Cricetulus griseus: one gene and its partners. Each later gene encodes a partner of the first gene's protein in a complex. Links are inferred from orthologs where the notes say so. Each region holds a gene or a part of one and is shown on either strand. Other genes may lie near its edges.

The links.
Region 2: the proteins of Xiap (region 1) and Casp7 are in contact, whole or in part, in a crystal structure (PDB 1I51), measured with the Homo sapiens proteins. The link is inferred for Cricetulus griseus from reciprocal best matches to the Homo sapiens genes XIAP and CASP7. Residues at the interface, in NP_001158.2 of Homo sapiens: His136, Ala137, Leu140, Leu141, Gly144, Gln145, Val146, Val147, Asp148, Ile149, Ser150, Asp151; in NP_001218.1 of Homo sapiens: Tyr230, Trp232, Arg233, Ser234, Pro235, Gly236, Arg237, Trp240, Glu274, Ser275, Gln276, Asp279, His281, Phe282.
Region 3: the proteins of Xiap (region 1) and Tab1 are in contact, whole or in part, in a crystal structure (PDB 2POP), measured with the Homo sapiens proteins. The link is inferred for Cricetulus griseus from reciprocal best matches to the Homo sapiens genes XIAP and TAB1. Residues at the interface, in NP_001158.2 of Homo sapiens: Phe33, Ala34, Ser38, Gly39, Pro41, Ser43, Ala44, Ser45, Thr46, Arg49, Tyr75, Ser78, Ala79, Val80, Gly81, Arg84, Phe92, Ile93, Gly95, Tyr97, Leu98; in NP_006107.1 of Homo sapiens: Glu99, Ala100, Arg103, Thr201, Gln202, Leu203, Glu212, Asp213, Phe216, Arg217, Gln220, Arg241, Glu269, Glu271, Ile272, His273, Ala275, Gln276, Pro277.
Region 4: the proteins of Xiap (region 1) and Ripk2 are in contact, whole or in part, in a cryo-EM structure (PDB 8AZA), measured with the Homo sapiens proteins. The link is inferred for Cricetulus griseus from reciprocal best matches to the Homo sapiens genes XIAP and RIPK2. Residues at the interface, in NP_001158.2 of Homo sapiens: Lys208, Asn209, Trp210, Glu211, Pro212, Cys213; in NP_003812.1 of Homo sapiens: His136, Asn137, Met138, Thr139, Pro141, Ile208, Asp278, Glu279, Arg280, Ser282, Lys285.
Region 5: the proteins of Xiap (region 1) and Casp3 are in contact, whole or in part, in a crystal structure (PDB 1I3O), measured with the Homo sapiens proteins. The link is inferred for Cricetulus griseus from reciprocal best matches to the Homo sapiens genes XIAP and CASP3. Residues at the interface, in NP_001158.2 of Homo sapiens: Ala137, Leu140, Leu141, Gly144, Gln145, Val146, Val147, Asp148, Ile149, Ser150, Asp151, Thr152, Ile153, Tyr154, Asn226, Leu231, Gly232, Arg233, Asn234; in NP_001341706.1 of Homo sapiens: Tyr204, Trp206, Arg207, Asn208, Ser209, Lys210, Asp211, Trp214, Gln217, Lys242, Thr245, Glu246, Phe247, Glu248, Ser249, Phe250, Phe252, Thr255, Phe256.

The regions. Positions count from the first base shown.
Region 1 is NC_048604.1:25,909,771-25,916,663, reverse strand, and holds the start of Xiap (baculoviral IAP repeat-containing protein 4), read left to right. Parts: upstream 1-3,226; 5' UTR 3,227-3,254; coding exon 3,255-4,128; intron 4,129-5,309; coding exon 5,310-5,409; intron 5,410-6,893.
Region 2 is NC_048596.1:5,009,056-5,015,288, reverse strand, and holds part of Casp7 (caspase-7), read left to right. Parts: intron 1-2,383; coding exon 2,384-2,520; intron 2,521-3,156; coding exon 3,157-3,285; intron 3,286-5,914; coding exon 5,915-6,090; intron 6,091-6,233. UniProt on the Homo sapiens protein: Thiol protease involved in different programmed cell death processes, such as apoptosis, pyroptosis or granzyme-mediated programmed cell death, by proteolytically cleaving target proteins.
Region 3 is NC_048595.1:377,305,255-377,311,487, reverse strand, and holds part of Tab1 (TGF-beta-activated kinase 1 and MAP3K7-binding protein 1), read right to left. Parts: intron 5,254-6,233; coding exon 5,117-5,253; intron 4,756-5,116; coding exon 4,602-4,755; intron 3,631-4,601; coding exon 3,544-3,630; intron 3,124-3,543; coding exon 2,985-3,123; intron 608-2,984; coding exon 494-607; intron 1-493. UniProt on the Homo sapiens protein: Key adapter protein that plays an essential role in JNK and NF-kappa-B activation and proinflammatory cytokines production in response to stimulation with TLRs and cytokines.
Region 4 is NC_048595.1:130,013,009-130,019,241, reverse strand, and holds part of Ripk2 (receptor-interacting serine/threonine-protein kinase 2), read left to right. Parts: intron 1-3,817; coding exon 3,818-3,971; intron 3,972-4,785; exon of another isoform or gene 4,786-4,862; intron 4,863-6,233.
Region 5 is NW_023276807.1:40,008,871-40,014,466, forward strand, and holds the end of Casp3 (caspase-3), read right to left. Parts: coding exon 5,476-5,596; intron 4,451-5,475; coding exon 4,275-4,450; intron 4,019-4,274; coding exon 3,898-4,018; intron 2,459-3,897; coding exon 2,229-2,458; downstream 1-2,228. UniProt on the Homo sapiens protein: Thiol protease that acts as a major effector caspase involved in the execution phase of apoptosis. Following cleavage and activation by initiator caspases (CASP8, CASP9 and/or CASP10), mediates execution of apoptosis by catalyzing cleavage of many proteins.

The DNA of each region.
Region 1 (6,893 bases):
GGAAGAGCAACCAGTGCTTTTAACTGCTGAGCCATCTCTCCAGCCCTTAAAATCTATTTTTAATTGACACAGTAATTATAAGTGTATGTGCTATAGTGTCACGTGTTTACTACATGCAAAATATGCATTAAATAAGATCAGAGTAATATTCGTTGTCTCTTATTTCAGACATTTTCTTTGCATTGAGAATATTCAAAGCTTGTCTGTTAACTATTTTGAAGTGTCTGGCTAATTATTTCCAACCATAGTTTTCCTAGGTTACTGCAGAACATTAGTAACCAGGGCTTCATAGATGGCTCAGTAGCTAAACCATATGCTATGCAAGTATGAGAACCTAAGTTTTGATTCTCAGAACCTAAATAAATGCTGTGTGGGCACGGTGGCACACTCCTAATTCCAGAGTAGGAGACAGGCTCTCCGGGGCAAGCTGACTAACGGACTAGACATTATCAGTGAGGTCTAGGCTTGATTCAGAGATCTTGTCTCAAAGGATAAGATGAAAGGGAAATTGGGGATAATTGCCAATATCAGCAGTAGGCTTCCATGTGCACAGGCCTGCACTTGCACATTCACCCATACACATGACACAGAAAGACAGAAAAGGAATTCTTTGTCCTGCAGGTTTGGGTGGTACATTCCTGTAATCCCAGGACTCTGAAGGCTTTGGGCAGTAAATATGAGGCCAGCCTGGATTATGTAGTGAAACTCTGTCTCCAAACAAAAGGGAAAGAAAGTAAGTTACTTCTGTTCAACTACACCTTTGTGCCCATTAACCTTTTAGCTTCCACATAAGTAGCTGATATGTTTTACTTCACATAATTTCATCCAGTTCTATTCATGTTTCTGCAAAGTGGCAGAATTTTAATCTTTTTAAGGATAAATATTACATTGTATACATACACTACATTTTCTTTTTCTGTTCCACAATGGTCACCTACATACAAATAGTGCTATAATAAGTGGGCAAATACAGGTGTCTCTTCAGCATACTGATTTTACTTCCCTGGATGTATGCCCTAGCTCCTGTGTTAGCTGTCTGTCTGTTTGTTTTTGAGATTGTGTATCACAGGCTGGCCTAAAACTTGTTATGGAGCTGAGAATGAGCTTGAAATTCTAATCCTCTTGCTTCCACCTCCTAAGTTCTGAGATCGTTGGTGTACTGCCACACCCAGTTTATGTAGTGTTAAGGTTAAACCCAGGGCTAGGTGAGTACTCTGCTACATTAGCAACATCTCCATCATTGTCTAATTGGTTTTGAAACTTATTTGTGTGTGTGTGTGTGTGTGTGTGTGTGTGTGTGTGTGTGTGTGTGTGTGTGTGTGTAGACCTATGATTGTGTGCATGTGAGTGTAGGTGCCCAAGGAGACCAGAGGCATTAGATCCCCAGAAGCTGAAGTTACAGGTGATGTAAGCAGTCTGATGTGGATATCGATGCTGGGAACCGAACTCGGGACCTCTGGAAGAGCAGTAAGTGCTCTTAACTGCTGAACCACCTCTCCAAACTCAGCTCTTGTCTAGTTTTTGAAGAGGCTCAATTTAGGGGCTGGAAAGATGGCCCAGTGTATTGTGGAGGCAGAAGCTGGCTGGATCAGCCAGCTCGTAGTTCAGCTGAAAGATTCTGCCACAACAAAGTAGAGAATGATAGAGAAAGATATCCATGCACATGCATGCATACCAAGCACACACATCTACACAAAACCAAGAAGAGCTTCCATTTTGTGTTCCATAATGGCAGTGCTAGTTTACATTCCTGTTTGTAGGTCCTTTTTTCATATCCTCAGCAGCATTTGTTGGTTTTTGTCTTTCAAATAATAGCTATCCTGATAGGTGTGAGGTGATACTTCATTGTGGCTTTTATTTGTATTCTGGTGTTTAATGTGGTAGTTGGCCGATTATACATCCCCCTTTGAGAAATATCTGGATATGTATTCATTGCTACATCAGAATCTTTCATTTTTGCTGTTATTTGAGTTTTAGCCATTTGTTTATTTTGCATTTCACAAACATACTGAGGACAGAATGGCAATGTGGAAGATTCTGGAGAACCAGCTTGTCTTGTAGCTAGGGTGACCACATGTTCTTCTATCTGCTTTGCCTATGGTGACCATGATTCATGCCTGTTATCCTTATGCAATTATTAGTAGCATCATTTAGCACTTTACCATGTTGGAGGACAAACTGTCTTGCCACTCTTCCCATAATGCAGCTGATTCCTCTTGGTATGTTATTTGGCCTAAACATGACATCGTTGTAATTTGGCAACTGTAATGAGTGTTAAATTCTCTTCCATTTAAACAGGCTATTTCTTGACCAACAGAAGTTGATGGCAAAAGTAACTTCAATTAATATCTGTGACTTTTAGAATGTTTAAGTCATTATAATATTTTGTTTAATATTTTTATTAGTTCTTTGAGAATTTTATGCATGGCATTTTGATCACAGTCACCTACCTCCCCAACTCCTCCCAGATCTACCACCTGACTTTGTCCTTTTGTTTAAATGCAGCAAGTTTAATTTGTGCTTCCTATATACCCTTGGGCATGGCCTCCACCAGACCACTTTTTTTTTTTGCTAAGCAAGAAAGTAAAAATATATTTAAAATTAATCCATGAGCATTCTAAACATTCATTTTTAAGTAGTAAAAATTGAACTTTGATGCCTTGAATATGAAATGATTCATTATAACTATTATGCATAGTCTTTAATAATCTGCATGTTTTATGCTGCATTCATGTTTTTCCTAATTAAAGGCTTCATGTGTTTAATATTTATAATTTTTCTGTGTCATACTTTCCATATTTCTATAAAATGAGTACTTAAGATTCGTAATTCTGCTGTTTGTTTACATATTGTTTTCCATCAAAAGAGAAAGTGGGACTGAGATTGAGGCTCATTTTCGGCACTTGCCGAAAATGCCAAAGACCCTGAGGTGGATATCCAGGACTACAATAAATAAGAGAAACAGGCTGGTTTATAGTTCTGTGTTGGAGCATGTGTCTGGCATTGTGTGAAGCCTTAACACTGAAAGAGAAAAAAAACAAAAGCACCAGATTTTAAAACTCAAGTAGTAATGTAAGGCTCTAGTGTTTAGAATTAAATGTGTCTTAGTGATTGTACCACTGTTTTTATGTTATCAGTGGATAATTTGTTAGTGCTTAGTATCAGAAATATGTTACTTTTGTTATGTGTTTTGGATTTCCTAATGCAATGTTCTCTTTTTAGAAAAGGTGGACAAGTCCTATTTTCAAGAGAAGATGACTTTTAACAGTTTTGAAGGATCTAGAACTTGTGTACCTGCAGACACCAATAAGGATGAAGAATTTGTAGAAGAGTTTAATAGATTAAAAACATTTGCTAACTTTCCAAGTAGTAGTCCTGTTTCAGCATCAACCTTGGCACGAGCAGGGTTTCTTTATACTGGTGAAGGAGATACTGTGCAGTGCTTTAGTTGTCACGCGGCAGTGGATAGATGGCAGTACGGAGACTCAGCTGTTGGAAGACACAGGCAAATATCCCCAAATTGCAGATTTATCAATGGTTTTTATTTTGAAAACAGTGCCACACAGGCTACAAATCCTGGTATCCAAAATGGCCAGTACAAAGCTGAAAACTATGTGGGAAACAGAAATCATTTTGCTCTTGACAGGCCATCTGAGACTCATGCAGATTATCTTTTGAGAACTGGACAGGTTGTAGATATTTCAGATACCATATACCCGAGGAACCCTGCCATGTGTAGTGAAGAAGCCAGGCTGAAGTCCTTTCAGAACTGGCCAGACTATGCCCACTTAACCCCCAGAGAGTTGGCCAGTGCTGGACTGTACTACACAGGGATTGATGATCAAGTGCAGTGCTTTTGCTGTGGTGGGAAACTGAAAAATTGGGAACCCTGTGATCGTGCCTGGTCAGAACACAGGAGACACTTTCCCAATTGCTTCTTTGTTTTGGGCCGGAATGTTAATGTTCGGAGTGAATCTGGTGTGAGTTCTGATAGGAATTTCCCCAATTCGGCAAATTCTCCAAGAAATCCAGCCATGGCAGAATATGAAGCACGGATCATTACTTTTGGAACATGGATATACTCAGTTAACAAGGAGCAGCTTGCAAGAGCTGGATTTTATGCTTTAGGTAAACTTAACCAGTAAATTACTTTCCATCTGTCATAGGGCTCCTAAAAAGAAAATCATTGCCTTTAGTCTTCTGAACTAATAAATATTTAGGCATAAGTTTTCAGGATTGCTTATCATTAGTATCATTCTCTGAACTCATATGTTAAATCTTCATTGTCATTACTGAATTTATGCTTAAAAGGCCATGCTATTATGAGTCAGATCTGTATTCATACAGTTGTTTGAGGGTTGAGTTGAGAGAAGAAAAAAGATGGTATTGATTCCTGATAAATAATGGGTCTAATAGTAATAATAGCTGCCATTTAACGAGCATCTACTCTGTATGCTCAGCATACTTATTACATGGATTGTCTGTAAGCTTCACCACAACCCTATAAACAGAGTTAACAGAGAATTTAGGTTGGTTCATGGTAAACTGACATCAAGCTAAGCATGGTGCCACATACCTGTAATTGCAGCAGTCCATAGGCTGAGGTAGGAATGAGTTTGAGGGCAGTTTGGGCTACGTCATGATACCCTCGAAAAGAACCAAAGAAAAAGTAACATCTTTAACATACGCTACATATTTGAAAGCTGCCCTGTATTATGCCTTATTGCATCAGAGTATTTTTGAAACAGTCACAGTATGTGACTTAAAAGCCAGTAATATGGTTGCTTCTAGGAATATTTTATATCTGCATGCCTGGTCCACTTATTTTAAGATTGAATAGTGCTAAATTCAAAATACAAATTATTTCAAATTTTTTTCATTTATATAACATAGTAATCTTGAAGGTCTTTTTCATGTCAGAGAGCTCTATCCTTAAAGACACTTACTTTGTAGTATCTGCTGAATTTTATTATAGTTAACATTTGGAATATAACTTGTACAGATTTCAGTTTGATGAAGTAAGTGTGATAGTAATGACCCAAATGACATGCACTAGAAAGAATGTAACAATTGTAGTTTTTAACATAAAATCTTTGATTTTACTTTTGTTGTCTTCTACAAAGCACCCCATATCGGGATGGTAAATTTAGTGTGTATTTCCTGTCAAATGATAAAGATCGTATCTAGATGGAATATGAATGTTTTCCTTTAAGCCATGAGATTGTATGTAACTTAGACACCTCTTAAATGTTAGAATGGGCATTTTTTGATGCACAGATACACATAGTTTTACGTGCATGTTTCCTTAGGTGAAGGTGATAAGGTGAAGTGCTTTCACTGTGGAGGAGGGCTCACAGATTGGAAGCCAAGTGAAGACCCTTGGGAACAGCATGCGAAGTGGTACCCAGGGTAAGATTCTTAATTGTTCATTCAGGAATAGGCAAGTTGGACATTGTGCAGGAGAAAGATTTGAATTACTTTTCACCTCAACTATTTTTGCCTTCACTATGGCTTGTAATTCACACCAAGTTTATAGAAATGGGGTCACCTACTTCGTAGGCCAAAAAAAAAAAAACCCACCTAAGACTTCTGGTAACCAAAACATTCACTGTTCATATATTATATGAGGGTTCCATTTATAAACACCAAATTACAAAAATGTGTACTTTTTATTTAGTATACTATACAAAAATATATCCTTTTTATTCAGAAGTAGACTCTTTGGCGAGTGACCTGAGCCCATGGTACCATGGGAAGTCCTGAAGAGCTGGCATAATGTATATTATTATTTGTGTTTTGTTTGCTTTTAGTTTGAAACAGTTTCTCACATTAACTCGGTTGGCCTGGAGTTCACAATGTCTTCCAGGCTGGCCTCCATCGTGAAACTCTCTTGTCTCTGTAAAATAAAGTACTCAGCTATATAAGTTGTATGAGTTTCTAATATATAAAATAATACAACTTAAAATTTTAGAAGAACCATTTGAAAAGACTCTTCCTTAAGCAACCCAAGTGTTCCGTATTGGTTTAAAAAAGAACCCATTTCCTATGGAAAGAACCTTTGTCAGCCTAGATACAGAAGGGGAGGGCCTTGGTCCTGCCTCAAGTGAGGCCTCGCCCTCTGGAGGAGTGGATTGGGCGAGGGATGGGGAGATGGTTGGGGCAATGAGAGGGAACTGGGATTGGTATGTAAAATAAGATTGTTTTAAATGGCCGGGCGGTGGTGGCAAATGCCTTTAATCCCAGCACTCAGGAGGCAGAAGAAGGTGGATCTCTGAGTTTGAGGCCAGCCTGGTCTATGGATCGTCAGGGCTACACAGAGAAACCCTATCTCAATTCCCTCCCCCCCCAAAAAAAAGATCAGTGTGAAAATACTAATTTAATAGCTTTTTTTTTTTTTGCCTGTTAGCAGTTTTGGATTTTCTTGTGTTTATTATAGTCTTGTTATATGTAGCCTAAACTGGCCATAACTTCCTATGTAGACCAGGCTGGACCTAAAACTTGTGGCAATATTCCAGCTTCTGCGTCTTGAGTATTATAGAGGTGTGGTATCATGCCTGCCTTTTTGTTTGTTTCTTCTTTGAGACAGGGACTCTTGGAGCTGGCTCTAGCAAGAATTCACTATGTAGCCAATGGTGGTTCTAAACTTCTGATATTCTTGGCTTAACCCCCTAAGTGCATATATTTCAGATATTTACCCCCATACCTGTCTAATGACTTTTTTGGCTAGTTTTCCTTTCTTTTGGGGGACAGGTTCTGTCTATGTAGTCCAGGCTAGCCTGGTTTTCATGTAGCCTTCCTATTCAGCCTCCCAAGTGCTGGGATTACAGGCATATACCACCAAAATTGGCTAATTTAGTAACTCTTGCTTGAAAATTGATATTGATAGGGTGGAA
Region 2 (6,233 bases), on another chromosome or scaffold:
CTCTGATTGCATCTCCAGAATGCACTGCTCCTTGCCAAATCTCAGACTGCTCCTGAGACTGCACTGAGCTCCTTATACTCTCTCTAGTGCTGGGACTAAAGGTGTGAGCTCTGTTTCTCTATTAGTCTGATTCTCTCTCAAGTAGCCCAGGGTGGCCTTGAACTCACAGAGATCCATCTGCCTCTGTCTCCTGAATCCTGGGATCAAAGGTGTGGCCACCACTGCCCAGCTTCTATGGCTGTGGCTAGTTTTGCATTCTGATCTCCAGGCAAGTCTTATGAGATCATAAATAATAATGTCACCACAAAGAGGCATGGACAGACAGAAAGGGAAGCAGAGGTCAGCTTCTGGTCGAGGATGCTCTTTAAAATGAAATCGTACTGTGGAAGAAACGTGACCTTGTAAAGATGGAGGATGGAGTCATGTTCAGGTACTGGAAAGAGAAAGAATTTGCAGTTGGAGATACTGAGCTCATCTGCAGCTGGACCACAGGAGTAGTGGGGAGGAGAGAGAACACGCCTTTCAGAGATGCCGAGACACCGCCCTGGAGAAGAGTCCAGGGAAACTCCAGACACCAGCCTCAAAGGCACATGAATCAAGTGCCAGCTGGGTTTTCACCGATTCTGTGGCTCTGCTGTCTTTGGGGAGAGCTATATAAGGACTATATACTCAGCACGTTACATGGCAAGTGTCATTATAGGTGTGGGGGCGTTCGGTAATTTTTCAGATCAGATGAAACTCTCGTCTCCCTGAAGCTCACTTTGGAGAGGAGACCAGCAAGACTCCATCTCTTGAGTCCCGTTTGGTCCTCTTCCTCTTCTTAGGTCCCGTTTGGTCCTCTGCCCATTCCATGACGTCCATGCTGCACCACACTGGTTTTGCCCAATAGAACCATAGTTGTTGGGGGAGGGGAACAATTCTTTTAAAAACAATTCTTTAAAAAATTGTTCCCCCCTCCCCATTTGTGTAATCGCTGGTCAAATATTCATCCAGACAGAAAGGTGTCTACATAGGTGAACTTTAGTTAACATATGTGTATAACCGCCACCAGTCCATACAAAAAAGAACATATGGGAATGTAAGAGATGACTCCGTGGGCAAAGAGCTTGCTGTGCAAACCTACAGACCTGAGTTCCCCTGCGTCCATGTAAAAGTTAGACATGGCGGCGAGTGTCTGCAACCCAAGCTGGGGGTTGAGACTGGTGGATCCAGGTGGCTCACTGGCCAGCCAGTCCAGCTGAAACAGCCAGCTCCGTGCTCATGGAGAGACTCCGTTGTAAAACAAAACAAAACAGTGGAAAGCAATAGAGGGAAGACATCTGACATGGGTGGCATCTCCAAGCACACACAGGTGAACACACATGTACATACACATACATGCACACATGTACATACACACATGTGAGCACACATGTACACACATACATGCACACATGTACACACACACATGAACACACATGTACATACACATACATGCACACATGTACACACACACATGAACACACATGTACATACACATACATGCACACATGTACACACACACATGTGAGCACACATGTACATACACATACATGCACACATGTACACACACACATGTGAGCACACATGTACACACACATACATGCACACATGTACATACACATACGTGAACACACATGTACACACACATACATGCACACATGTACATACACATACATGCACACATGTACATACACATACATGCACACAGGCCTGCACCGTGCCACATACCACCTTCTTGATATAAAGACATAGACTTGGGCATCCCTGAAGGCGCCTGAGGTCCTCTGCCTTCGCAATCCCTCCAGACGCCGTATGAGGCGCTTATGCCTGTGCAGCCCTCCTGTGTGCCGCCGGCTCTTTGCTGTGGTCATTTATGGTTTCCACGTGTGTGCTCCCTGCTGTCCTGGTTCATTCAGTCTCTGTTTTACTCTGCTGCACGAGTGTTCCTCACTTCATTCTCTTACTGTAAGCAGGACTGTGGCTTATTCCCTCCCTGGGGCACGTTGCACAGTGTGGCCCTATCTTCTAGTAAACCTTGGCCTGCCCCGGGGCAGTTGTTGTGCTGCAAGGTTTGTGTAACTTTGGGACACTGTGGACACCCTGATAGGTCCCCACCAGCTCCGCAAGTTCATGGCAGATGCTGAGCCGTCTGTTTTCCCACTGTGGCCACTCAGGGAGGCACACTGTGACTGTGATTTGCACTTTCTGACATCTGTTGAAATTTACCCTGGAGCTTTGTCCCATTTAAGCATGGCAGTTAAGCAGAGCTGTCTGCCCACTGTGGGTCTTCTCTTCACAAATACCGTGGCTTCCCTCAGCACACAGCTGCCCAGCGCCTCTAACTGACTTTCTGTAACCCAAGGAAAAAGAAGAAAAATGCCCCTCCGTGCCCCATCAAGACCACCCGGGACCGCGTGCCCACGCACCTGTACAGAATGGATTTTGAGAAGATGGGGAAATGTATCATTATAAACAACAAGAACTTCGACAAAGTGACAGGTGGGTGACCAAGTGACAGGTGGGTGACAAAGTGACAGGTGGGTGACAAAGTGATAGACAGGTGGGTGACAAAGTGATAGGTGGGTGACAAAGTGATAGACAAGTGGGTGACAAAGTGATAGACAGGAGAGTGCTGGGCTGAGCCCACCTCCCCCCCCCCCCCCCCGCCCGCCTCCCACTTTCTCCACATTGCACCAGACACTCATCAGAGAGCAGCTATGCCAAACCCTGCCAGGGGTATCCCATGTCCAGGAGGCAGGGGTGCAGAGAATTTTCCATCTAGGCTCTACCTCGTGCTGTAGCTAAGAGAGTGCTGAGACTCAAGGAGCCTGTCTTAGTTTCTTTCCCTATTGCTGTAATAGAATGGCTTCTTTAATTGAGTGGTTCTAGAGCATGACATTGGCAGCCAACGCTGGCCATCACAAGTCCAGTGTGGTTTCCCGTTACCATAGGGAAGTTCATCTTGTTCGGAGGCCAAGGGCCCCCCACCCCAGTCCTCTTGAGTTTTCCTCTAGTCCCCTCGTGCATTTAAGCTGTAACATCGGAAGGTGCTTTCTGCTCCCGGCACCAATGCTGCAGAGCCACCCAGCACCTGGTCTGATCAGAACCTGCCCTCTCCTTGCTTTTCCCCCACAGGTATGGACGTCCGGAACGGGACAGACAAAGATGCAGAGGCCCTCTTCAAGTGCTTCCGAAGCCTGGGTTTTGATGTGGTTGTCTACAATGACTGCTCTTGTGCGAAGATGCAAGACCTGCTTAGAAAAGGTGAGTGTGGGCTGTCCTTGTCTGTCCTACCCCTTGGGTTGAGAGTGACATGCTCTGGCTCTGTGATGTGGCCACATTGTGATCATGTGGGTAGACTTTGGGAAGGGTGAGAGAGAGGCTGGAGAGCAAATTAGGGACTAGACCAGACTTGAAGAGCTATGCCCTTTTAACATTGTGACAATGACATTGGCATCTGCAAAGTCCATGCTCATGAACCATGCAGAGTTACAAAATCAGTCCTAGAAGAATCATAATGTTTTAGGTAAGTTTCCCACTTTGCATTGAGCTTGAGCTCATAGCTGTCCTATGACACATGCTGTCCTTAAGCCATGGGTTGGATATGCATTAAGGGACGCCATTGGGCACTCCCATGTGGCGCCCGTGCCATGAGCAAGTCCAGGGTATTGGGCAAAAGCCTGGAGATTTAGTTAAAAGCAGAGACATCTGGTCGTTTGTGCTAGGTGAATGTGTGTCTGACCTCTGTTGCAGGGAGGGAGCAGCCTTATATACAGACTTACAGCACAGTGGAAAAACCCCAGGTATAAGAGCTTGTGTTTTTTATACCAGTGGGGTACTGCCAAGGCTGTTATCCAGGACTAGAAAACAGGATGCACCTGTGATTATTGGCTGACAAGCAACTCACAGAGACCCTGTGGGGGCTGGAGCCCAACATCTCTCCCAACACTCCCACACTTGGAACAAGTATCTGAAACTAGAATGCTACCTGCTCATTAGACAGGGACCTACAGACAGCAGAGGGCTCAGCTTTCCTTAACTGCATATCTGAAAAAGAAAGGTTTTGTGTAATCTTATTTTCCTTTTAATTGACTTCTTGGGATCAGAGAGAGAGCTTGGTGATCAAGAGTGTATACTACACACACACACACACACACACACACACACACACACCACACACACTGTTAAATATAAAATAAATCTTCAAAAATATGTATGATTCACCTAAAGTACCTGGATGAGTGCCAACACATAGGCAGTATCCCTGAAACTCTAAATCTCACCCCCCACCCCCCTACCCCCCACCCCCGTGGCTAATTTGGTATTAACCAGTAGGTTGTTAGTGTCATGGCCATGGATAAGTTGAAGCCAAGCCAGTCTGCTGCGTGCCCCGTGATTCCTTTCCTGATTCCTATATTGATGGCTATCTGATTTTTTTTCTATTAACTTTCTAGTTTAGCATGCAAAGTAGTGGGTTTCATATATTTGTGTGTCCTTACGCTCTGTTCTCATTCCCCACCCCCACTCAGCTCCACAGTGCCCCGCCCCTCCCCCTCCTCCTGTCTTCTTAGCCCATGCCTTCCATTGTCCCCTCCCCTTTAACGTCTCTGCTGCCCTCTCATGATCCCTTTTCTAGTTTTATAACCTACCAACACACATATCAAAGTACACACATACGTGTTTGCATACTTTTAAAACTAGGCTCCACACACCAGAGAAAACCCCGGGGTCTTTGTGTTCCAGGCTCGCTAACTTCACTTAACGCAGTGATCTCTGGTTCCATGTGTTTTCCTGTAGATGTCGTGATTTCAGTTTTCTTTACGGATGCTCAAATCCCTGCTGTACTTCTGGGCCACGCTTTCCTTACCTGCTTTCTGTTGATGAGCTAGTTCTGTTCCCCGGCCACTGTGACTGGTGCGGCAGTAGACATGGACATGCCTGTGTCTGTGGCATGCTGACTTAGAGTCCCTCGGGTATACGTTCTGTTTTCTGTTGTGTAATACAAAGTCGTTGTTTTAATCATTTTAAAGAGAGCAGTTGAGCGGAGTTAAGCAGTCACTTCTAGAATTCTTTTCATTTTCCATAACCAAAGCAACCTACATACTAACCACCCACTGTGTCCCCTCCCCTGGCCACTGACACCCTCCTTTCTATTTTGGCTTCTCACCAGAGTGAAGCCCTTTTCATGACTGGCTTATTCTGCTTGGCCTAATGTTTTCTTTAACAAATACTTTGGCTTTAAAAATAGTAACTGTAGCTGGATGTAGTGGAGCAGGCCTTTAATCCCAGAACTCAGGAAGCAGAGGCAGGCTGAGTTCAAGACCAGCCTGGTCTCCGTAGCAAGTTCCAGGCCAGCCAGAGTTACACAGTGAGACACTGTGTCCAATAAATAGGAATTTTTTAAAATTTAATTTCATTTATTTTATTTTATTATTTATTGGGGGGGGATTTCGAGACAGGGTTTCTCTGTATTGCTTTGGAGCCTGTCTTGGAACTGACTCTGTAGACCAGGCTGACTTCAAACTCACAGAGATCCTCCTGCCTCTGCCTCTTGAGTGCTGGGATTAAAGGCGTGCGCCACCAACGCCCGGCCAGTAGGAACTCTTTTATAACTACCATAACCACCTCTTTTTTTATAGACAGATGAGAAAATGGGGGTTAACTAATCTCTTTGGTGTCACAGAATCGGCCCACTGCTCCCCAGTGCCTGGGTTCTCATTGAGAGAAATCCTAGAATTCTCCCCAGCAGTTCAGTCTCTTCAGGGAAGTGGCCCAACCCGGTCCTTTGAAAAGGGGATTCCGTGCTCTTCCCAGGCCCCAAACTGTCATCTGTTTGTGGAGCCCGGTCCCTGGAGCCTTCAGTGCCAACATTGCTAACATTGCTTCCCTGCAGCCTCTGAGGAGGACCACAGCAACTCAGCCTGCTTCGCCTGCGTCCTGCTGAGCCACGGAGAAGAGAATCTGATTTATGGGAAAGATGGCGTGACGCCAATAAAGGATCTGACGGCTCATTTCAGGGGGGATCGGTGCAAAACCCTGTTAGAGAAACCCAAACTCTTCTTCATTCAGGTGCTTTACAGGGGTCAGGGGTGTAGAGCAATGATATGATGCCGGGGTGCAGGGGCAGTGTTTCTGTGGGGTGTGCAGCGTGGGGCTGGGGCTTTCTGCCTGGAAATGGTTGGCACAGGTACTCGCTTCATTTCTGGAAGGCA
Region 3 (6,233 bases), on another chromosome or scaffold:
CAGAACCTTTGGATACTGGATCTAGTTGGAAGGAGGACTGTAGAGTGGGCTTTGGAAGGTATAGGCTAACCAGCTTCTGGTCCCCTCTCTTTTCTTCCTGATTTGCTAAGATTTAATAATGAGCCATCACAGAATCCTGCTGCCACAGGTAGAGAGTCAGCCACCACGCTTTCTCGCCATGATGGACGACAGCATTAGCCAAAAGCCTTTTCTCCCTTAAGCTACTTCTGCCAGGTATCCGGTCACAGTAGTGAGAAAAGTTTACTCCTCTGGGAGGCAGTTTATATACATTAACTCTCCAAAGAGGGTGTTACCACTACCCTCACCACACAGATGAAGTTCCCAAGTCACAACTGTCCAGTGGCAGATCCAGTTCTGGCTACAGTCCCAGCATGCACCTCCCTCTCCCAGTTACCAAAGGAAAGGCACAGAAGGAGCCCAGGAGCTGGCCCCCTGTCCCCACAGTTCCCCCAGCGCAGCCTCCCCTAGTCACCCAGTTGTGACAGACGAAAGAGCTCGTCCTCATTCTCCGTGGTGTGGTCCACGTTCAGCTGTGTCACCTGTAACCCATCCACTGTAGATTTGCACAGAAGGGCCCGGTTTGTACCTGCAGCATAATTTGACCAAGATCAACCAGAGGGAGAAACAGGACCTACTGACACAACAGGAAAGACAGGCAGATGTCACACACCAAGGGGCCCAGACACAGGGGTGAATCGCCAGGCAAGGACAGCTGAGTCAGTATGGAAGCAGGCTGCATGCTACAGTGTGATCACAGGACAAGTCTTCAGATTATCATGGCTTAGTGTCTGTGGTTGCTTTCAAACAATTTGGAATAAGGGGCTCTGAATGAAACAAGACTGGCCACAGACAGAAACTGTTAGGGCTGGAATGGGGCAAGGTGGCTCACTAACTAACATTTATCACCTGTTTTACATTTTGCAAGTTGATCCCTAAGGAAATCTGAAGAAAAGGAGGAAGAGAGTCAGGGACACCATAAACTCTTGTGATAGTTTTATAGAAAATGGTTCCCAAAGGCAATGGCACTAATAGGAGGTGTAGTTTTATTGGAGTAGGTATGGCCTTGTTGGAGGAAGTGTGTCACTGTGGGTGTGGGCTTTGAGGTCTCAAATATGCTCAAGATACCACCCAGTGAGACAGTTCACATCCTGTTGCCTTCTGATCAAGATGTAGCCAGCACCATGTCTCCCTGCATGCTGCCATGCTCCCTGCCAAAACGATAATGGACTAAACCTCTGAACTGAAAGCTGCCAACCCAATTAAAAGTGTTTCCTTTATAAGAGTTACTGTAGTCATGGTATATCTTCATAAGCAATAGAAAGACAGCCCTTACAGTGACATGCATCCTGCACAGGTTCTTGGGTCCCTTGATGGCCCTTCCTTAAATCTAAATGTCCCTATCACCCAGTTTCCTGCTGTTTTTTGAGTGTAAAGCAGGCCTTCACATAACTTCTTTCAAAAGAAGCCATGGGGCTGAGATGTTGGGAGCACAGAGGTTCTTGCACTCACAGATAAGTGGTAGGGAAACCAGGAATGTTGGACATGCAGGGTTGTCTCTTCAAAGGGAGAGATATATAACCTGTTTTCTGCCCAGGCTGGGAATGGAGGTAGTTCACAGCCATTCGATGACCTCTGTGCTATGTGTAGGGGTAGGCTACATGTGCCCCCCGCCAGGCTCCCACAAATAGGATCTGAGATGGTTAATAGCCTAGGTGACCTCTGTGCTATCTGTATGCCCAAGATCCCACCAGATCCTCCCCTAGGGCCTTAATACATGTAGCCTATCTGTAGAACACATCTTCATGGAAGAACTGACATGTACTTGGGAAAGAGTTTCACTGGGCATGGTGGCGCACACCTTTAATCCCTGCACTTGGGAGGCAGAGGCAGGCTGATCTCTGTAAGTTCAAGACCAGCCTGGTCTATATAGTGAATCCCAGGACAATCAGGATAGATCCTATCTCAAAAAAAGAAAAGAGTTTTGATGTAATTATGCCTTACTGTGCACACAGGATTGTGTTGTACTTGGAAACTTTTTTTCCAAACTGTACTGTACTTAAATATGCCTAAAATAAACTGCCTGGGGCCAGGCACTGGTGGCACACGCCTTTAATCCCAGCACTCGGGAGGCAGAGGCAGGTGGATCTCTGTGAGTTTGAGGCCAGCCTGGTCTCCAGAGCGAGTGCCAGGATAGGCTCCAAAGCTACACAGAGAAACTCTGTCTCGAAATACCAAAAACCAAAACCTAAACTGCCTGGGGTCAGACTCTAGTGCAGTGGTTCTCGACCTTCCCATGCTGCGACTGTTTCCTCACGTTGTGGTGACCCCCAACACAAAATTATTCTCCTTGCTACTTCATAACTGACTTTGCTACTGTTATAAAACATAATGTAAATATCTATGTTTTCCAATGGTCTTAGGCAACCCCTATGAAAGGTTGACCCCAGATTGAGAAACACTGTTCTAGAAGTTTGAACCAAAAATAGCTACTGAATCATGTTGAACTGGATTTCCTCCTTGCCTCACAGGGATTGGATCATTACTCTGCTAGCCCTGGTGTTTGCAGAGACACCCACTCCCCCCTCCCACCCAGAGATGGCTCAGCAGTTAAGAGCATTGGATGCTCTTCCAAAATCTATTCCCAGGTACTCATATGGTGGCTCACAACCATCTTTAACTCCAGTTCAATCAGATGCCCACTTCTAGCCTCCACAAGCACCAGGCACACATGTGGTACACAGACATGCATGTAGATAAAACACTCATACACATAAATTAAAAACAAAAATAAAATGGATGCAATTCATCAAAAGCCAGGACACCTATCCCTGTCTCATCTGTTCGCCTTCCATCAGGATTGACACATACAACAGAGTGAGGGGGAAACAGGCCCAGCAGCCCTGAGAAGTTCAGGGTATGTATGTACAGAAAGCAGATTGGTGTGGGGTGGGTGGGTGGCTCACCAACATTGGCGACGTAGAGCTTGTTGTTGAGAAGGACTGCCACAACGGCCATGGCCCCTCCCGAAATCTCCCTTTCCAGTGCCTTGAGTCTCTCAAGGATCTTCTGATACTGAGGTGGCAACTGGTGTTGGGGCACACCCTGCAAGCCACCATCAAGAGAGGTCAGCAGGTGCTTGAGGACCATCTTACCCATTCTCTCCTTCCCTTGAGATAGAGCAGACAGATGAGCCAGCAAAGACACAGCCAGGCTGGATACCTATAGGATGCCCAGGAAGGCCACTGGTACTTTAACCAAGGGCAGCCTGAAGGTGACCCTGGCTCTGGACTGAACCAGATCACAGAACCTTTCCTTCCACCTACTGCTGCCATCCAAGGATGAACATCAGAGAAAAGCTGCCCACTGCTGGCCAAGAATTCCCATAGGGATACACCTACTGTCACCCCAGTCTCCCCATCAGGACGCTGCCTCATGATTCTGCTGCAGGCCTTGCTATGACCATAGGTAGCAAGAGACATGGAGGATTAATGCTGGCACCCAGCAGTACAGATAGGCCATTACCTCTGGTAGCTGGGACTGGAGGCTTGCTTTCTCAGCCAAGGCATCATCAATGGACTCCAGGAAGCTCCTCTCTACCACATCGAAGGCCTGAAGGGACACAGGGCAAGGCAAGGGCTGGCTCAAACAATACCATCACCTCCTGCTAAGATGTCCCTATGGAGCGTAACAGATCCATGGTATTCATGGCAGGTCTCATGTGACGGGTGAGTGACACATCATTTTTGCCTCATATGTGGGTCTTCCTGTCCATTGTTTGACAAGGACCTGTAGCTGTGGGATGGGAGAAGGGTGCTACTTAGGTAGCCTACAAAGGAATCAGAGAGGCAGAAGCAAGAGCCAGGCCCTGTGCTTAAGACTGGTGAGGTGTAAACTCCAGTGCTGCACATTTGGGTTCATGTCAAGTGAGAGAATCTACCCACAGCACTGGGCTCAGAGGAGTGCTTGGTCAATGGGAGTCTGCAGTAGCATGATGACCTCTTCTGAAGAGGCCTTGGTCAGGACCTGCTGGACACAGGTGAAGCAGAAAGCTTTCCCTGGTATAGCCTTTGCAATGCTCCAGTCTAGGAGCCCTGAGGCCACAGAGAACAGGAAAAGGCTGGGGCAATTTCTCAAAGACCAAGAAGCCTTTCTGGGTAGATGGAAACCCCAGCACAGCAACAGAAGAAACACAGGCCTGGTCAGTGAGGTGCAGGCCAGAATAGGAGTAGGCAAAGTTGCAGATCATGCAGGACTGGAGATGAGCACCTAACTACATCCCAAGCAAAGGGGTCACTGTTAAGGACCGTGTCCCCACAGGCCTCCATTTTCCATTCCTGGGATGCCTTCTCCCAGGTCAGCCCTTCTTCCAATCAAAGAACTGCTGCTCCCATCTGCCCTGGACTCCTTGGGAAAAGGAACCCCTGCTACCACGAGCTGTACCCAGAACTGATCCTTGGTGGGAGATGAAGAAGCAGGCAATCTTCAGATCACCTTGTCCACACTTAGAGCTGCAGGGCTGAAGTTCCAGGGAGGAGAGGACACACAGTCAGACAGGCCACTGGCAGCCAGCCCAACCTCACCTGCAGCAGGACCCGCCGCACATCAGCCTCAGTGTGTTCAGTGTTGAGCTGGCCCAGCAGGAGCTCTGCAGAGAGTCTCTGGGCCACAAAGTTGGTCACCCGGTTGCCATCATAGCCATTGAAGACCCCATACAGGAAGCAGTTGTTTTCACTTCTAGCAGAGGGAGGGCAGGAAGAGGGCTGAGGCCAGGGGCATACAGGTGATGGGGAAGAAAGAAAGGAACTGGGGAGGGGCTAAAGGCAGAAAAGGCTTCAGGTACTCATCTGGGTCCCCTCATGGCGGCCATCAATTCACTATGAAAATGACCTGCTTGTTGAATCCTCCCTCTTAGCCTACTCCATCCCTATCCCACAGCAGGCCGTTGGCTGAATTAGACACAGAAAGGACCACAGCAGTGGTCATTTCCCACAGGCCCCACTTCACAGGCAAGCCTCATACACAGTAGTGGCAAGACAGCATCTTTCCTTGCTCATAAACTGACTTTCTCTGTCCAGTACAGCCATGCCACACATACCTGAACTTGAGCCAGTTGTCCTCAGGAGGGTGGCTCTCGGTGCCCTTACCATCAGCAGAATAGCTACGGTTAGAAGCTGAACCAACTCCAGAGAGATGACAGAGTGGAAGGTCATCTGTCCAGCTTGGCTGCTGCTCCTGAAAAAACAAACAAACAAACAAACAAAAAACATCAGGAAACTGCGAAAGCCTACCATCTTCCCCAGATCCCACTGCACCTGCTTCTCCAACAAAGACAAAGGAGGTCCCCAAAGTCCCACAAGATGGTTATGTCTGGGAAACACAAAGTGTCCTGTTTTTGTAATGTATCCACAAACTGGTTCCCATGGAAATCCTAAAACTGTAGCATTCCCAAGTGGAAAGCTCAGCATGGCTTTTCAAAGACAGCAAGCTGTACTACCAAGCAGGAAATACTAGTGTAACACACAGTAAGTCCAACTTAGAGGAAACTCTGGTCACACTCCTCCCACAAAGTTCTGATTGTGCAGCACAAAGGAATCCAACTACAGAACACATGCCCCACGGGCACCAGCACCACCACAATGCTTGACCCGTGCAGCTGTGTTATCAATAGCTTCCCACACATGCTCTCAGGAAGGTAGCTGGGACCTGGCCTTCAGAAACTCCAACCTGCAAGTCAGTCTGCCATTCTTCCTAGTATGGAAGCCTCCACCTGTGTCCCTTGCCATCTCCCCCAACACATCTTCAATAGCTGCAGCTTGAAGGCCTGTGTACACCCTTTTCCGTGTCTGGCAAGTCTTCTGGGATCGCTGACTCGGCGGTCACACTCATACTCATGGTTCCATATCTCATGCCTACAACTGGCTTTCATCCTATCCCACCAGATCTCAAACTGGGATGTTTTGCACAATCACTGCAGAGATTTACACACACACACACACAGACACAGAGTCCAAGTCTTAGCCTATACAATACAGGGTTTCTCTGTGTAGCCCTGACTGTCCTGGAACTTGTCCTGTAGACCAGGCCTGCCTCTGCCTCCAGAGTGCTGGTTAAAGACCTGTGCCACCACTGCCAGGCAAACATCCCAACTCTTAATTTTGTAAGGATCCTAGAGGTGACCCCTAAGCACCTGTATTTTCTTTTCTTTCTTTCTT
Region 4 (6,233 bases), on another chromosome or scaffold:
GGACTTTCATCTGCCTGTAGTAGCTTTTATCCCCCCACCATGGGCTAGATCACATTGAAGTTTGGAACACTAAAACTTTCTGTGTACCATGATCCAGATTCAGATACTGGGCCTTATAGTCGGTGGAGCTAGTGCTGGGTAAAGTGTGTTTGTCTGGGATCGACTTTAAAGGGAGGCTGGCTAGAAGCCAATTAAACAAATATTCTGTGGATATGTAGCACTAGTAGACCATTGAGTATACCAAAGTGATTTCTCACTTTGGATTCTGCTTTCCAAGGTTTTTATTTACAAAAGTGTTATGCTTTTTGTGGGCCAAGCGACAAAGATGGTGATGCTTTCCCATTTTCACCAACCACATCATCGTATAATTTCATTGAATTGGATAAAAAATTATCTTTCTAAGACCAACAAAATCCTGTGACCTTACTGCATTTCATTCTTTTCTCTTGTTGCCTAAGATCTTAACAAGTGCATAAGCGTAGGCTTATGCAATTGACTTGGGTGTCTTATTTCCTCACTTATAAAATATGAATTATAAACACGTACGTACGTATATTTGTTGTGCTCTATCTAGTATAGATAAAGTGCCCATTGTTCTTTAAGATGACCTGAGAGGAAAATAAATTTTTGTGACGTGGCATATTATTTTAATGATTAATGAGTCATTCTCTGTAGCCAATGAGTGGGCCTAACATAGCAGACTTCCTACCTTAATGGATAGATGACTCCACTTGGTACCTTAGAGATGGGGTAACTGTTTCCTATTGAAATTTTGAGTTGGGTAATTTTGGTGATATAATCATTGAAACTGTCTTTTACATTTTTAGCTTTTTTTAATCTTTTAGTTTTATTTCCCCCCTTAGTCTTGTTGAAATCTAACCTTATAAACTGTCCAACTTGCTTTCCTGGTCAAACAACAGACTAGGAAAAACACAGACCTTAGAGTACCAGGACTACAATTTGAATCTGACTTTAATCCTGTTGCTTTGTTTGGTTGTGGTCACCAGAGGATCATTTATTTCTCCGACTCTGGGTGTCCCTGTATGTAAAGTGGAGGTAATGGAGCCAGCTTTAGAGAGGCAATTGAACAGTTAGTGTTTATAAAGTGGCTGACAGGAAGGAAGAATACATCAGACTTTTTCATGTGTGTGCGCATGTGTGTTTGTGTTCGTGTATACACACATGTTGTACGTACTGGTCCATGTGCATGATAAGGAAGCCAGGGGTCAACTTCAGGTATTGTTCCTCAGGACCACCATTTATCTCAGGGGCAGGTTAGTGTTTCAGAGTGTTTTATTGTTGTCGACTTTTTTATGTGGATTCTGAGGAATCAAACTCAGATCCTCCTGTTTGTGTAACAACCACTTCACCAGCTGTACTGTCTTCCAACCCCTTGTTTCATACTGTGGACAGGAGGAGGAAAGGGGATCTTATATATGCATGTGGCTGGAACTTCCACAGTGCACTCTCTCTGTGGATGTTTCTCAGTGTCCAGGAATCTTCGGGTTCATCCCATAAGGAAAACACAGCAACTGTCTTGTTGACCCGTATCTCTTGGGCAAATACAGAACTTGAGAAATTGAAGTTTAATTAAATGGGCCTCACAGATTGATATAACTGGTTTCCTTACTGTCAAGGTCATGGACAGAGAAGAGAGAAACTTTTCACTTTGTTTTCTTACAACTCTTTAATTTAAAACATAAAATGTATTACCTACTAAAAGAATAAATAACTTCTAACCATGATTGGGTGTGTCTCTCTGTCTCTCTGTCTCTCTCTGTCCCTCTCTGTCTCTCTGTCTCTCTGTCTCTCTCTCTCTCTCTCTCTGTCTCTCTCTCTCTCTCTTTCTCGTGTGTGTGTGTGTGTGTGTGTGTGTGTGTGTGTGTGTGTGTGTGTGTGTGTGTGTTTTAAGCAGTCTGGTCAGGAATGTCTATTGCTATTCTCATTTCAACAGACATCCAGCGCTTGGGTTTCTTAAGAGCCAACTAATCATCAGCACTTACCCAATAGGCTTCTCCTGGAAGCATTTCTATTTATGTCATTGCTACCAACACCCATGCATCTAGTGTGCTAAAAAATGATGATGGCATCACTATAATTTCTCTTCCTTTGTGTACTTTTTAAAGTTCTTCACCGCCAGTCAGTCCAAACATCTACCATTCTTTTCAGCCAGTGTTTTCTTTTTTCTTTTACTATTTTATACTTTATAGTTTCAGGCTCCCCCTGCTTTGTATCTAAATTATTACAATCTTCAAAACTGTTCCTCTTTCTATTAATTCCATGTACTATGCCAAGTTAATTATCTTCAAACTTAATTGTACTCCTTTCCCTTGCTCAGAACTTTCAGTCACAGCTGATTATCAGACTCCTTAGGAGTCTTAGGATTCTGGCATGTTTGATTTGCCATCGTTTCTTTTACATATGAAATATCCTAATTCATATTAAGCAGTCAGTTTTACTTTCACTTCTGTAATTCATTTGACCATGGATGTTGAACATCTACTGTGTTACTGGATAGGAGGCACTGTTTTAAGTCCTGGGAATGGGTATACATGTGCAAAAGAGAAGCAAGGTCTTACCTTTCACGGAGGCCTCATTCACTTTATATGGCTTCTCTGTGGTGCTGAATTCTAGTCATACTTCAGGTTGCACTGAAAGCCTGTCTTTGAAGACTGTGGTGACTTTACCTTGCTCAAAATTCTCTCTCCTCTGAATGCCCCATAGTTTACTTTTCTTTTTTCTTTATATGTGTATGTGCATATGTGTGTATGTATGCATATATATATAAAATATATGGCAATCATCACATTCTTCCTTGTATTATTTTTTTTCTGATGTGAATTATGGGCCTTTAAAGACAAGGATGCCTTTTTGTCTTTGTATGCTCTGAAATACAAAGCATATTGTATTTCATGACGGTAAGTCTGACTGTACTAAAAGTTAACCATTTATCTCTTTTACTCATGCCCAAGGCATGTGGTATACCAGGGATCAGCTGGAAATGCTTCCTTGTTCTCTGCTTTTTTCCTGAGTTTGATGTGTAACTTCTAAGCCTTATTGACTTTGATGTAGCCATCATCATCTAAGTCAGCAGTTACCAACCTTTGGGTTACAGCCCCTATAGGGGTCAAACAACCCTTTCACAGGGGTCACCTAAGAACATTGGAAAACACAGATATTTACACAGTAGCCAAAATTACAGTTATGAAGTAGTACTGAAAATTATTTTATGGTTGGGGGTCACCACCATATGAGGAACCCTGTAAAGGGTTGCAGCATTAGGAAGCTGGAGAACCATTGATCTAAGTAAATACGTCTGCAATATTTAAACGCTTTAGAATTCATGTTTGGAAAACTTTTACATGTCTATAACCGTAAAACATGTGGTTATAAAATATATTTGGTTACTCCATTTAATCTTAATGATTACTTCAAGCATCAATCATTCTAACATAGGCTAAGTTTTGGAGCTTCGTCTCACACTGTTCCTTCTCTTTCCTAGGAAAGGTATGGTAATAACCATGTGGAGCACTTCTGCCATCAGTGGAAAGTACAGTAATAACCATGTACAGAGCTTTGACCACCAGTGGTTTATAGACGTTATTTTGGCTGTTCTCTAAATAGACCAGTAGAATACATAAAGTGGGTATTATCTCTATTTTAAATATGATAAAACTAAGGGACACAGAAGATAAACTCACATGAGGCTACATAGCTAATTAATGAGAAAAAAAATTCCAAGCTTATTTAATCTGTGGGTATGGCCATTATTGTATGTTTTTCGTTATCTGAAATAATTATCCTTTTTTTTCCTTAGTGAAAGAAATGATATCTTACGAGAAGCTGAAATACTACATAAAGCTAGATTTAGTTACATTCTTCCAATTTTGGGAATTTGCAATGAGCCTGAATTTTTGGGCATAGTTACTGAATACATGCCAAATGGATCATTAAATGAACTTCTACATAGAGTAAGTACTGTTTGTTTCCAATAACTACAATTACTATTTAGTCTGCTCAACTATATATAGTATTTTGTTCTTCATTCAGTCACATTACTCTGTAGTATATAAATGAATCAAGTAAGAATATGAAGCACCATGAACTGATGAACTTTACCTTTTGTGTCTTTGTTTGTGTTGGTACAAAGTACTGTGGAGTTGGGCTTGAATTCAAAGGTCCTAGAATATTTCGCATAGGTAACTCTGACATTCATACTAAATCCCAGTATCCAATATAATATATATATAATATATATATATATATATATATATATATTATTTGTACACAGATAGGCGTGGGAAATAGATGAGTTCAATACAGTATATAATCCATGGTTAATCGATATTTAGTGACTATTTAGGATCCAAATTAACTATTATTAGTTAATGGACCAAGTAAATTATCTTCAATGACAAGAAACATGACATTTTTCTGTCTATAGAAGTTTGAACCATTACTAATTTTTTCAAGGTATAAGTTACTCTGGCTTTGTATTTGTGAATCCTATCAACAAACTTGGGATCCTCATTCTCAAAATACATGTATTCTATTTTTATTTTGGCTTGATCTTACACCCTGATTCTTTCCAGTCTGCATTTGCTTTCAGATCTTTTTAGGTCAGATGCTCCAATTTATGAAGATTTGAGCTAATTAGAACTGCATAATACCTATGAATACTTATGCCATTCCCACATTATAGTATATCACATTGCCTTTTACACAAGCAAGGGAAAGTGGGCACCACTATCAGCCACTCATGGAGTGACTTCCTCTTTGTTTCAGAATACATCGCATTCTATTCATGACTTGTGACCATCTGAAACAAAGATGGACTGAAGTAACTGGTATCAGTCTGTAAGGTTTGTGTACCTGCTCCAGCAATCAAGTTAAAAAGATTCCATAAAGCACAGTTTCTTTTTTGTTGTCTGAGAAATGAAATTGAAGCAGAAATTCTAATGTTTTATTTCCACATCGTTATAGATACTCTGGCACCCAGATTTGGAGCCCCCTGGAAATTCTGTAGCCTTCTCTAGGATTCTTCCTAACTCTTAGATGTGACCATAAAATATAGAGTGTCACTCTACCCTTGACTCCATGAGGAAAAGCCTCCATATGACACTGCCATTCAGAGGCCTCATAGTCACTTTAAATTTCATAATACTTTGAAAAATTGCCTCTTTACAGACCAACAAAAGATGCACTTGCTCCAAGGTATTGAGCTGTATGTGTTTCCCAGGAGGTAATGCTCCATGTTAGTGTCTCCTTGGTATGTTATCCTAAATAATATACCAGTTACTCACAGTGTGATTTATCTTGAAGCACTCACCACCCACATCATAAAAGATCACTGAATAAAATGAAAATGTGGTATAAACAGCCTAAAGTATTTTGAACAACCTCCTACTAATTGGTCACTGAAATTTAAGCAGACTTGATTTCAAAAAGAATCCCAAGGCAATTTTGGCGCTTCAAAAAAGGTGACTTTTATATAGTATTTTAGAAAATGAACCCATGAGTTTGAGCCATTTCAAAAGTGTCTGATTTTTCTGAGTGTATATATCCTCCTTGGAAACTGCATTAACTTTTATATTCAGAAAACATTTAAAGAAACTCAGGTGGATATGTGTTTAAGAACAAAACAATGATCTTTATTCCACAAGAAGAAATTCTCAAAGGTTAACGTTTCAAGAGGTAACGTAGAACATAATTTGTAATTAAAGTATGAGATATAGATCAGTGAGATGGGTCAGAAGTTGCAGGCACTTGCCCCCCAAGAAGACAGGCCTGATGACCTGAGTTTGACCCAAAAGCCACATAAAGGTGGAAGGAAAGAACTGGCTTCACAAAGTTGTCCTCAGATTTCCACACTCCCAACCTGCCACATGTACCCCCAACACATCTTGTATACACGCACACACACATACAGACAATAGTAACAAACGTTTTCAGGTATGAGACACTTCAAATGATATACTCTCAATTTTAATTGACTTAGAGACTACAGTGATAATTATAGTTTTAAATTAATATAAAAAGTTAAAATTTTGAATGAATGGTTTGGTTTGTCAGAAACACATTATATTTTTTTTCTGTATGTATGTGTGCTTGTGTGTATAAGTTATTTGATGAGACCATAGAAGTGATCTGTGGATTAGGGTGTAAATTAAATACATGTATCTGACTTTATGTGCATACAAGTAACTGACAGTTGTGTCTGCTAAAGAATGAGG
Region 5 (5,596 bases), on another chromosome or scaffold:
GCCAGAGCTCTTACCGCTGAGCCATCTCTCCAGCCCCAACATACTTGTTTTTCAGCATTGACTCTGGGGATCAAACTCAGGTTCTTGTGCTTGCAAGAGAATCACTTTACCCAATTAGCTACCCCCAACCCCATAACCCCACTCTTTCTTTGTAATATCTAAGACCTCTTTATATGGCAGGGAAATTAAAAAACAAAACAAACAAACAAACAAAACTAGCTTTTTCTTAGAACATTATAGAGAGCTACAGATTTTTTTTTTTTTATAAAAGATTTATTTAGAACAGCCAGTGCTCTTAACCACTGAGCCATCTCTCCAGCCCCCTGCCACAGGTTAAAAGAGGCTGAATAAAAACATTCATGCCACTCTACTCCTTGGTAATAGGAATTCCTTGATCCGGTTTTGTTCTTGATTGTATAGCAGCTATGATTATGTAAACATCGGAAGAGATGACCCCCCCCCTCGCCCCCTTCCTACATTCTTTTCAGGGTTTAAATCATATCCATTCCCCCAGAGGTCTTGTCACTTGCCAATGCCTCAAAATATTAGGTGAGAGCCCTGCTGCATCCTCTTTGGCTCTCCTAAATTAAGCTCTGGGCTAAAACTATTTTAACTGTCACTTAGCTATCACAACACCAAAAGTATCAATGACAAAAAGAAAAAAAAAAAAAAAAACCACAAAACACAAAACTCAAATACGCTGATAATTTTAAATCTGAATTTATGTTTTGAAATAAAAATGCAACAAACTCTTATAAAATTGACACATGGGAACACACTTTAAAATACCATCACATGCTACATTTACTTAGAGTTAATAGATCCAGTCTAAAACAAGAATCTACCAGTTATACATGTGAGTTCCTTCCTTTCTTTGAGCAAAAAGGAAGCTTCCATGAAATGCTAGACACATCAGGATGGCCAGCGTTGGCTCAGCACCTCCACCAGTGAGGAAGCCTGGAGCACCACCTCTCTAATGGGGCTGGACTCCATCCTGCAGCTTCCCATGCGGGCTGCAGGGCCTGTGACTGGATGTTCCCCAAGTCCTGTGTGCCATGGTCCTTTAATCTCTGGTGACAATACAAATATCACCATTGGCTTCCTTTTATTGTAAACTTCAACAGAAAAGTCAGCATGCTTACAGATTCTGGACATGGAGTTCTGGGATCTTTCTGGAGAGACTTACCACTTTGGGAACGCCCTTTCTAAGAAGTTTCCAATCTGGCTGACTTTCTCATGTGGTGACTTGGACCTTAGGGACATCATCCACACGAACGAGTACTCATGAGGTGGGTCCAGGTGACAGTCCTTTCTGAAGCTGTGCCCATGGCTCTGCCATGTATCTACTGTGGCTCAAACCACCCCTCTCCAATTACAGTAGATTCATTTCTCCCGTCCTTACATTCTGTTTTACAGCTGGTATTTTAGTATGTTCCTGCAGAATTTATTTCATTCTAATAATCAACAATTTGAGGCTGTTACGTAACTGTCCTATAGATATTTTGCTGGTCTGTAAAACTAAGCTGATTTGTATAAGAACAAGTAAGAAACAAATGCTGGTAGATTTAGCACCTTGCCATCATATCCACTACTTATGTATGGTAGCCTTCAAAAAGTCAACCAATTTCACTCATGTTTTCCTCTTACATAAATACTCAAGTTTTTTTTTCAATAATGAAACATGATTTTTTTAATAACAAATACATGCTTAGGACAAACATCACAAAACAATGAATGCTACTGGTGGTCCAATGCTTCATTTCCATATATCACTTCCAAAATAAAGGTCCAAGCTTTTGACTCTGCCCATGGATTCAAGTTCTAAGACATTATCATTTGACACCATCATTGCTGTAATTTAACAAAACCTAGAATGGCATTTTTAATGTGTGTAGGGAGTATAAAATTACACCTGAAAGTTTAACTTCTTCAGAATTAACTTAAAAATTTATAGTACCACCAAATCTTGCTAATTATAAAAAGTAAATTTGTAATTTCCTCTATAATGATAGTACCATCATTGACATTTGTTCCAATTAAATTGTTTCAACTACCTGATGTTGCACTTGAGGTAGCTGTACTGCGGCTGCATTGCTAGGGCAGTGGTATGGTTCATCTGAAACATCAGATTTGATTTAAATGAGAGAGAAATAAAGTCTCCCTGACACTGTTTCCTCATTGGCATTCAAAACAAAGAACAAATAGAAACAAAGCCTCCAATCATTTCCTTACTGATAAAAGTACAGTTCTTTTGTTAGCATGGACACAATACACGGAATCTGTTTCTTTGCATGAAAAGTGGAGTCAAGGGAGAAGGACTCAAATTCTATCGCCACCTTCCGGTTAACTCGAGTAAGAATGTGCATAAACTCAAGCTTGTGTGCATACAGTTTCAGCATGGCACAAAGTGACTGGATGAACCAGGACCCGTCCTTTGAATTTCTCCAGGAGTAATAACCTACAAGGCAAAATACAAAGCACCATGCCCACCATTACTTCATACCATCATTTAGCAGATTTTATGTGTTTTTACATAACCATGATAAAAATAAATATGAACTTCCAAGGTCTAACAAGCCATAAAAAGGAAAAAGAAATAACACCTTTGGTCTCTGGAGAAATGATATTGAGGGGGAAAATATATATTATACATACCTCACTACTGTCAGCAGGAAAAAAAAAAAAAGCAGCTATGGACTGACTGCCATTGAATTCTTCTACCACTTCCTGTTTCGGTCACAGCTCATCTGATTTTAATATTGGCTTAGACAAGAAATAAACTGCTTACATATACACACTTTAAATGTTTCTTTAGACTTACTTTATATGTCTGAGTTCTTTGCCTGCATGTATGTAAAGTGTAGCACACAAGTGCCTGATGCCCACTGAGTTACAGATGGCTGTCAATCACCATGCGTATATGAGGACCCAAACCCAGATCCTCTGCATGAGTAGAACAAGTCTCTTAACTATTAGGCTGTCTGCTCAGCCATATATATTTATATTTTAAAGAATGCCATTAGCTCACCTAGGGCGCATCTGAATGAATGTAATAAATAGCATTCAAAAAACCTAAGAAGGAAATAGTGCATTTTTGGTAATTTCAGATTAACTATTGGACTCATTGTGTTTACTTTAGAAGTATGCTGCCTAGAGAGATACCTAGTGGCTAAAAGAAACAAGATTGAGTGTATTTCATCTATTTGTTTTAATAGGTTTATTTACTTACTTATTTTGTGAGTATACTTGTACATGTGCCACATTGCATGTGGAACTCGGAAGATAATTTGTGAGAGTCAATTTTCTCCTCTAAAATCACACGCACGCACGCACGCACACATAGGTCCACACCCACAAATTTAATACTGAGTGTGTGTGTGTGTTGGTTTGAATGAGAATGGCCCCCATAAGCTCATATGTTTGAATATTTGGTCCCCAGACATGGAACTATTTGGGGAGGATTAGGAGGTGTTGTCTTGATGGAGGAGGCATCAGGTGGGCTTTTGAGGTTTCAGAAATCCATGTCATTCTAGCTAGTTCTCTCTGCCTTGTGCTGTGTTTATAGATAGAGATGTAAGCTCTCAGCTACTGCTCCAGCACCACACCTGTTTATCTACTGCCATGTCCTGCCTCCCCTTTCTTGTCATGATAGTCATGGACTCTAACCTTCTATAACCAAATTAGACATTTTCTTTTATGAGTTGCCTCAGTCTCTTGTTCTGTCATGGCAATAGAAAAGTAATTAAGACAACATTTAGTTATTGTAGGGATATAAAAATGTTTGTGAAGGGCTTATAAAAATCCCAATAGCCTTTAAAATCTAGTCTTTACCTCCAGCTCTAAAGTAATGCAATTTATCTCCAATTCACATAGAACATTCCTCTGACACATTCTTACCAGGTGCTGTGGAATAAGCATACAGGAAGTCAGCTTCCACTGGTATCTTCTGGCATGCCATGTCATCATCAGTTCCACTGTCTGTCTCAATGCCACAGTCCAGTTCCGTACCACGGCAGGCCTGTGTGTTAGAAAACAAACTTTTCTTTTAAAATAATATTATATGAACACACATAATTTGTAAAAGCTGTAAGAGTAGTGTAAAAATTGGTAAGTTGTTCTGATATAAGAGCAACATTGAAATGTACTCCACATATTCTAAGTGGTGGTTTAAGTAAATACAAATATAACAGTTCCGTTGCCCCAAAACAAAAAGTAAAGACTGTTAAATGTGTTAATCTCTTTTTAATCGGGCACCAAGCTGCTCAGAGCACTACCTGAATGATGAAGAGTTTGGGCTTTCCAGTTAGACTTCGGCAATAGTCCCCTCTGAAGTAAGTAGTTAGTTTTTTCAGGTCAACAGGCCCATCTGTTCCAAAAATTACTCCTTCTTCACCATGGCTTAGAATCACACAAATGAAACTGCTTCTTCTGCTGTGATCTTCTTTAGAAACTGGAAAGGCATTTGCAAATAATTGAAAACAAAACAAAGACACAGAAGGACTTTGCAAGTTTCGTTTAAAACATTAGGACACTGTATGAGAATATGACAAAGAATCTGTGGTTGTTTGATTTGTATCTAGTTTTCTAATTGGACCAAGATGGCTTTGAATTCACAGTCTTCCTTCCTGTCTTAGCTTCTTGAGTTCTGGGGTTACTGATTTATACCATGACCACAAGATGAAGAAACTGAGACCAGAACTATAAGATCACCCAAATCTAACATAGGCAGAGCACATTTGGAATCATTTTAGGGGATGACATGATTTTCTTTTTAACTTTTACTAAAATATATAAGCAGCCAGGTGTGGTGGCACATGCCTTTAATCCCAGAACTTGGGAGGCAATGGCATAGTTTTATACCTCTAATTATAAAGGTCTAATTATAGCTAGATCATAAATTGGGTAAAATTACCCAATGACGGTCATTCTTTTTTAACATAGTATTTTCATTAATTCTTTGAGAATTCCATCTATGCAATCTGATAATATTTATCCCCACACATACACCCCCAACTTCGCCTGTATCCTTCCTCCCAACTTCGCAGCTTTTTGTTTTTTAATAACACAGGGTCCAAATTGTTCTGGCCATATACCACTGAAGCATGGTCAACCTATCAGGGACTACACTATTAAATAAAATGGGACTCTCCCTCCTCCAGCAGCCATCGACTATCAACAGCTCCCCAACCTAGATGTGGGAACCCCCTCATTAGTCCCCCTCCCTTTCATGTTAGAATGCTGACAGGCTTGATCTTGATCAGGCAACAGCAACTGCTGCTGTGTAGTATTCTTGTCATGCCTTCCATTTGGTCCTCCCCCACCTCTGGCTCTTAAAATCTTTCTGCCCCTCCTTCTGCAATGGTCCCTGAGCCTTGTATGTGTGTAGGGGTATGGATATGCCAATTCTGGCTGAGTTCTGCAGACACTTCATCTCTGTCCTTTGCCCGGTTTTGGGATGCTTCTTTAATTATTTACCATTTTTCATCAATTCCACAATTTCTCCACAAGTAAGATCATTCTTATTCCGGACTTCATATTTCAAGCGCATGAATGTCTCCCTGAGGTTGGCTGCATCAACATCAGTACCAGAGCGAGG